Oryzias latipes: one gene and its partner. The protein of the gene in region 1 interacts with the protein of each later gene in a pairwise test. Links are inferred from orthologs where the notes say so. Each region holds a gene or a part of one and is shown in the gene's direction. Other genes may lie near its edges.

Region 1 (4,328 bases):
CCTCCTTTGTGCTTGAGTCTACATTCCAAGCTCACCAAGTGCTATCCATCTAATCACTGCAGGTGAAACTGGTTTTATTTTTACTCTTTGAGCGTCGTGTTTTCTTTTAGACTCAAAAATAACCTTGCATATGACAAAGATGGAGGAGAGATTTTTGGATGCACCCATGCATGGAACAAAGGGATCAAAAGGGGAAATACCTGTACAGTTAAAGTTTGTTTAGTTTGCAGGAAAAAAATCCCTTTGCTTCCTAAAATGAAAAGAACAGGAAACAAGTCCCCTCCCATTTGAAAGACTTTGATAATAATAGAAGTGCGAAAAAACAAGATGTCTAATGGAGAGATATGCAACTCAGTCTTTACAATGAAACAAACAGATCACGATGTGTTTTAGCCAATATAACAAGTATTTTTTTCCGTGTTGGTACCCATGTAGGTAAAAAAAATACATATATACAGTATATATACATATTTTTGTTTTGTTTTGTTTGTTTGTTTAAAACTAAAAAGGCAATGGTTTGTGGTTTAAAACATTTTCGGTTCAATAAAAAACCTTTTCTTCAAGTCTATTTGTAAACATTATCATACATTTTAGAATTTGGCTGCATTTAGCCTACCAATAAACACCTTTTTGTATAGGTTACCTTTACACAATGACTATGACGTGCCGTTACTTTTCATAATAAAATACACCACTATAAAAACCCGGTATAACATATTTTAAAATCCATTCAGAAAGAAGTAAGGTGCTACTAAAAGAAAGCAAGAAACTTATTTAATGAAACCTGAGAGTTGAACCCCCAACAGACTGCCTGGTAAATGACCCTTAGACCTGTAAGCTTTAAAGATGTTGCTTTTATTTTGTTCATTTATAGTTGGCTAATTAGTCAAATTCCCCCCCCCCCCCCCCTTCATTTTTGGGGGAAAAATATTTAGGTTAAATTTTATTCTTTTTTTGTGAAGTTTTGCGGTTTGATCATTTCATTTGTTGTTTTAATGTCTCTAACATTTCAATTTTTTCTTTTATTTTTATTTAGCAGTGATGCATTTAAAAATTCTTCATTGCTAATTTTGTTCCTAGGGGCTACCGTACATTTCCTCCACTTTCCTCATATCTGCTGATGGTGACGTATACTGCAGAGCCTGGATTTTAGTTCTCGCGAGATTTTGTCAAACAATTCAGACTTCTTTCGCTCAGTTCCTCCTCCTCCTCAGCCCTCCCTTCCCACGCCCCAGTGCGCCCGTGGGATAGTGGCACTATAAAGTATATCCTCTCTCGGAGAAAGATAAGAAGCCCGAGACAGGAGGGGGATGAAGATGGCGGACGCCAAGCAGAAAAGGAATGAACAGCTAAAGCGATGGATGGGCTCGGAAACGGACCAGGAGCCTCCTGTTTTCAAAAAGAAGAAGACGAAGGTGAAGTTCGATGATGGCGCCGTGTTTCTGGCCGCCTGCTCAAGCGGCGATACAGAGGAGGTGCTCCGTATGCTGGACCGGGGTGCTGACATCAACTATGCCAATGTGGACGGCCTCACAGCGCTCCACCAGGTCAGTGCTCACCTGCTGTCTCCGTTAAAACCAGCCTGCAGCCCCTGCCGCTCTCAAACAGGGCTTTACAGCATGCAACTGCTTTCCCTGGAACACCTGTCAAGTGGAAGCCATTCTCATCCCGTTGTTTACCTACCGAGCCCTCTTCCTTTCGATTCGACGCACCAGGGAACAAGAAGCTTGCGCGGGGGATACCCCACAAACAGCTTTCACACACCTTAGCGAACACACCTGACGATTTTTGGCCAAGTTTCCCTCCAATGAATCCCTCTTTTACCTCTAAAGCGGGTCTGTGTATTCCCTGCTCTGGGTGTAGTCTAATTACAGTACATCATGTTAAAATTGCTACATGAAAAGCCCATTTAAATGAAACGTCAGTGTTTAATTTCTTGTCTGGTGAAGTTAAGTAACATAAATTAAATTTATGTCATAAAGTATCGACTTTAGTTACAAACGTTTCCATTGATAGACGCATCCCTGTTTGGGATTCTTGGTTTTATGGCAGTGGACGGCTGCTAGTACTACCTCACCTGGTTAGCAGTAAAAGTAGTTTTGTTGATAACCCCAAATCACAAATGTGGCTAGCCTTTTAGGACAGCGCGACAACCTTTTTTTCCTTAAATTGTTCTTTTGAAATAATCCCAAATTAGTTAAAGTCAAGTTTTGCTCAAAGGTTAGTCCAAAATCGAGCTAAAGAAAATGCTATTAAACTTGTATTTAGGGTTAGCTTAAGGCTGCTAGCATGCTAAGATAACTTGTTAGCTGTTGGACTTCATCGTCGCTTAATTCATTCATTTACACGAATTGTTTTTTGTTCTCTGAAATAGGACTTTTAATGACTTGTTTTTTTAAACAAATACTACCAAATACTGGTGTTTGGTTTGTTGGCTAAACCGGAAAGTCAGCCGTACCGAGCTGAGCTATGTGCCCGCTAACTACCGTAGCTTCGCTCCGTAGCTTTGGTGCTTACTGGATCACCAGACTTTGTTAGAGACTTAAGCGGTCGGATCGATGTGTTGGTAAGCCCCAAACAAATGACAGATTTAAATTCAACCTTTTAACCGACGATAGTTTTTATTTTTTTATTTTACCCAGTCATCACTTAATTGTACTAAGGAAAAAAGCGTGTTCTCAGAACAGCTATTAAGCTTATTTGTGCCACTCATAACATAATAAGCTAAGTATAAACTCTTTTTTTTTTCTTAGTAAAGATGCCCATGATCTACTATAACGACACTCCATGATCTGTTTTTTTTTTTTAAACAGAGAAAAAGGGGTTATTTTGTTTGTGTGCTTTTATTTTCGTAAGTTTGGCTGTCTACATTTTGTTTGTTTGTTCTAACATTAGGGACAGTCTGAGCTCACATTAATTGTTTAATGCTTGGTCATCAGCCATGTCATCACATTGCTCACATTCACATGTCTGGTCATAGATAGCTGCTCTTTTTCTGTTCTTTCTGTCAGCATTGTCCATATGGTAGAAGATTGCCAAAACCTGGCTTTACCTCCAGTCCCCTTTTCTATCTGATGTCATCGATGCTGCTAGGTGGACATTGTTTTATTTTTTGAAGTCTGTAGTGAGTTATTGGTTTATAACTTCAATAGAGCAAATATGGGGGCAAGCTGCTTTAAATCTGTGTATTTCTAGCAGTGAGAAGTGGGTGTTATATGCCAGCATGTGATCTCTGAGCAGTTAAGCAATAATAATGTGGGATTTAAAGATTATCTGTTCTTTTGCAGTCCAGGTTGGTTAACAGATGTCTGAGACATTATGATTTCTAACGTTATACCCATTAAAATCTACAGAAATGGACATGAGATACTGGCTTTTGTCTTATTCTGTCGTGATGGTTCTCTGCATGGTGCAGTGGTGACCCTCCCATTGCTAGTGACTGGTGCGTGGTTATAAATAACCTGTCCCAAGTTCTCCTAACTGGGTTTCAGGAGATGATACTAAGTTTGGATATGACTCACAGTCTGAAGCTGTGCTTTGTGCTGAAGCTCTGATATCATTCAGGCCAGAGGTTGACTTTGTTTGTAAATCGCAGACAAATCCAAACTTAAAAAATGTTGTGTTGCTGAAAGGCCTGTAAACATGCTTCCAAGCTGCTGCCCTGGCGTTAAAAGCCAACGGTTTGAGCCGTTCCCAGGCTGAACACTAACAAAAAGGATGCTGTGCATCTGAGATCTTGGGCATACTTGCCTAAAGACCCATTCCGATCCTCTTTTAATCTATTCTAAAAACATTCCCACTGGGTTTTCAGTTATATTTAGCCAAAATCCTGTCGTTCTCTAGGACGTAATTTCTACAGAGCGGCAGTAGTTCATTAGAAATTGGCCTCTGCGATTTGTTGTTGACCGTTGCTGAGAGCTCTCTGTTTATGCACTCTCCTGCTAGGTTACAACCCCTAACACCGTCAATCTAACATTACCGGTACCAGAAAAATGGCAAGCAAGCTATCTAGCTGTACAGTTTAGAGCCATGTTCCTGCTCAGACGAGTAAAACAAAGACGGACGTGGATCTATTTGTCTGCAAGTAGGTGCATCAGAATGTTGCAGAGCCGGGAGCTTGTAGTGGATTTTCGATGTTCAAAAATTATCTCATTTTTTTTATTTTTCAATGAAATGTTTTTGTCTGCTACCAATTAAAAAAGATTTGATTAAAGACAAACACAAGAATGCAACTTTAGACTTGTTTTTTTTTTTTTTTTTTTTAAATATGTGTCCTATTATGCGAAAAAAATTCTACAAGAACATGTTAAAAAATAAACACCAAAAAC
Region 2 (3,872 bases), about 12 Mb from region 1:
CACCAACTAAACCACAGGCAGACAAAGAATACATCTATGGAAAATAAAGACGTCATCAAAATTTCTACAATAGTTAATAAAGAATGACATTATTAACATGAGCTGAGTCATCTAAAGCAGTGTTTTTCAACCAGTGTGCCGCGGCACACTAGTGTGCCGTGGGAGATGGTCAAGTGTGCCGTGGAAAATTGCCCTCATTAACTGATCTAAAAACATTTCCCATCTCCAGGAAATCAGGTCTTTGTTCATCCAAACAGGTCCTGATAAAACACTGAGTAGTTAGGAATATAAACGATCATAAAATACTTTTTTCGTTGTGTTTATTTGATTCTATTAAAGACATTTTGATAAGAATGACGGTAACGCGAAATAGCTGCAGCTATAACTGTGTAAGGAAAAGTCCCGCAGCTTTTACTGTCTCCACGACTCCACCAATCATTCTTGAAGGCTTAATCACATGTCATCAGTCTGACCAATCAGAAGTGGTTAAAGTCTCCACTTCCTTGTTCCAAATTAGCTCATAACTCAGTCAGTTCCGACAAAAACACCAGCTAAAGCTCGTCTTTAGCGGTGGAGCTTTCCACAGAATCTGGTATCAGACCGTGGAACAAGTGAACAAAACCATGAAGCTCAGAGACGCGAGTCTTTCTGCCGTTTTCTCGCAGTTTTCACACTACATCTCCCATGATGCATTGGCTTAAAGGGACAGCGTCTTGAAAACACAACGAACATACAGTTTGTATGTAACTTAACTTTTATTACATCTTTTAGAAAAACATCTGCAACTTCCTGCTTTTTCTGCCACAATTATCACAAAAATGCACGTCAGATTGCCGGGGGGGGCTGTAGATCAAAACAGACTATGAGTTTCTGCTTTTTTTTTTTTTTTTGGGATGCTGGTGTGCCGCGGGATTTTTGTCAAGGTTAAAGTGTGCCGTGGCTCAAAGAAGGTTGAAAAACACTGATCTAAAGGCACGTGATGATCCTGGTGTTGCGCAATCTAGCGCTCCGCGTGCCCCCTTCCACCTTGCAGCCTGAGCCCCCTTCCCCTCCGCTTTCATTCTCACACACGCAGCCGTGTGTGACGGGAGACAGGAGCAGCTGCAGGGATGGCAGTTCACAGTTTCAGGCTGTTACAAACACTGATATAACAGACAATAGTAAACCAACAGTGGCGCAAATGTTTTTAAAGCACTGAGCCACTGTCACCACCGCGCCCTGTTAAATTTACGCCCCGGGCAATTGCCCGTATTACCTGTGCCTAAAACCGCTACTACTGCGCGCCCCCCATGGCATCGCATCGGGGTGCGCCCCACTATTTGAGAACCACTGAATTAAGGTAAAAGACCCACTTTGAATTCCTTTGCAAATACCTACAAAAATCCTAATTCTTTTAAGTTCTCTTTTATTTTTAAAGTTTCCTCAAATGTTTTTGAAGTGTAGAAACAAGAAATTTAGGGAAATTGTCACAAATAAACAATTGAAAGAAAAAAAACGTTCATATATTCAATTTTATAATCTATTATCACTTTTTTGTGAGCTTGATTAGTTTGGACTTTTAGAGACTTTCTGTTTTTATTTTGACAGAGTTCTAGGTTAAAGTCACACTCCAATCATCTTTTGACCTATTGTACAAGCGTTGCCAGTTGTCCTGTAGTTATCCAAAAATCTGTGTCGTTTTCTTGGACATAGTTTCTGTAGGGCGGCAGTCGTTCACTGTTGTCATGATTGTCGGCGTGAGCATCCCCACCCCCCTTCCCCTCCCTGTTGCTGAGAGATCGGAGCAGGGAGCCTCAGCGTATGTTCAACATCACAAATGAGCTCTTGTTAAACTGCATCGTCAGGAAAAATATCTCAAAGACATTTTAAAATCACCAAAGACACCATTTTCATTGGTGTGGGTCTTTAAGGAGTGTTTGATTAAATGTCATCTTCACATCTTGTCCACTTCCTACCTTGTGGTTCAGGCAGCTGCTCAGTGTCGCCGATGACAAAGTGGTGAACTACACCTCAATGGTTCTTCACACATGTCTGGATGAGGCTAAAGTGGAAGATTTGTCAAAGCCACAGAACATCGCGCTGGCCCTGAAGGTGATGGAGGTCTGCAGAACCCATCCTGATGTGGACTGGACGTAAGTTCACACTTCCATTTAAAGTTTCTTTTCTCCTTTTAGTCAAACCCCCCCACCCCCACCCCCATATACACACACAATCTGCACATCATTTGGGTTCAGTTTCACAGCAGAAACCGGTCTAGATCCAACCCTCTGCACTTCCCAGACATGAAACTTACTGTAGGAGCCAAAATGTAGTTTCTTTTTTTTTTTTGTTTTTCTTGTTTACTTTGAAGTTTGGAATATTGCAGACATTTTGTTAAAGTTACATCTGGGAGAAATGTTTGAGGGCACACCTGTACTCTAACTTCGAAACTAAAAGAAACATACAGGATTAAAAAGTGAAACTTACTCACAATAATCAAGAGAGTTGAATAATTTTTGATGTAACTACACCCCCCCCCCATTTTGCATCATTTAGTGTATTTCACATTTTTCCAACACAACTTTTTAACTTATTTATCTAAAAGAAAAATTTGTCATGATATCGGTGCTTGTTGTTTTTCTGACAAATGTCGTCTTTTAAACTTAAGGAGCAATTTTTTTATGTTGCTGTTTTGTCTTTTTTTTGTTAGTTTCTAAATCTTAAGAACACTTTATATACACAGTGGGGCAAAAAAGTATTTAGTCAGCCACCAATTGTGCAAGTTCTTCCACTTAGCGATGAGAGGTGCCTGTACTTTTCATCATAGGTAAACCTCAACTATGAGACAAAATGAGAAGAAAAAAACAGAAAATCATATTGTCTGATTTTTAAAGAATTTATTTGCCAATTATGGTGGAAAATAAGTACTTGGTCAATAACTAAATTCTTTGTTATAAGCCCTTTGTTTGCAATGACAGCAGTCAAGCGTTTTGTGTAAGTCTTCTTAAGATTTTCACAAACTGTTGCTGGTATTTTTGCCCATTCCTCCATACAGATCTCCTCTAGAGCAGTGATATCTTGGGGCTGTCGCTAGGCAACACAGACTTTCAACTCCCTCCAAAGATTTTCTATGGGGTTGAGATCTGGAGTCTGGCTAGAGCACACCAGGACCTTGAAATGCTTCTTATGAAGCCAATCCATGTTACCCGGGCAGTGTGTTTGGGATTGTTGTCATGCTGAAAGACCCAGCCACGTTTCATCTTTAATGCCCCTGCCGATGGAAGGTTTTCACTCTAAATCTGATAATACATGGCCTCATTCATTCTTTCCTTTAATTCAATTCAATTAAATTTTATTTGTATAGCCCAAATTCACAACAACAGTCGTCTCCATGGGATTTGTATCGGTAATTGAAAAAGTAAAACATAAAATCAAAAGGATAATGAATACATAGAATTTAATAGGAAAATACTAAATTGAACTAACTAAACAGACTAAACTAAACTGGCATCCCTGCCCTTAGACCAGGGGTGTCCAAATCCAGGCCTCAAGGGCCGGCAAACTGCAACTGGCAACCGGTTTTCCAGAAACCCTGCCTCATCTGCTTGTTTAAGAGAACGTGTGTTTCAGCGTTAAACCACTGCGCAACCTGCTTTGTCTAACGAACTTAAGTTTCAGGGGGGCAACAACATCGAGTGTAATCTTAAGGGCATGTAAGGCATCATTAACAAACAGGTCATTTATACTAGGACTGATGCTGTGGGAGCTGGACTCAGAGTATTTGCTCAGAATGTCACTAAGTACTGGTTGAACTGTGAGTTTAAAAACAGAACAGTCAGATAAGGTTCTTCTAAGTGTTTTCTTATTCACTGGGGCAGTAGCATCTTCTATTG

Evidence for each region.
Region 2: the proteins of ppp1r12a (region 1) and atxn10 interact in binary tests that used the Homo sapiens proteins (3 or more experiments, as listed by UniProt). The link is inferred for Oryzias latipes from reciprocal best matches to the Homo sapiens genes PPP1R12A and ATXN10.

The regions. Positions count from the first base shown.
Region 1 is NC_019881.2:19,251,821-19,256,148, forward strand, and holds the start of ppp1r12a (protein phosphatase 1 regulatory subunit 12A), read left to right. Parts: upstream 1-1,199; 5' UTR 1,200-1,310; coding exon 1,311-1,547; intron 1,548-4,328. UniProt on the Homo sapiens protein: Key regulator of protein phosphatase 1C (PPP1C). Mediates binding to myosin. As part of the PPP1C complex, involved in dephosphorylation of PLK1. Capable of inhibiting HIF1AN-dependent suppression of HIF1A activity.
Region 2 is NC_019881.2:6,817,962-6,821,833, reverse strand, and holds part of atxn10 (ataxin-10), read left to right. Parts: intron 1-1,967; coding exon 1,968-2,132; intron 2,133-3,872. UniProt on the Homo sapiens protein: May play a role in the regulation of cytokinesis. May play a role in signaling by stimulating protein glycosylation. Induces neuritogenesis by activating the Ras-MAP kinase pathway and is necessary for the survival of cerebellar neurons.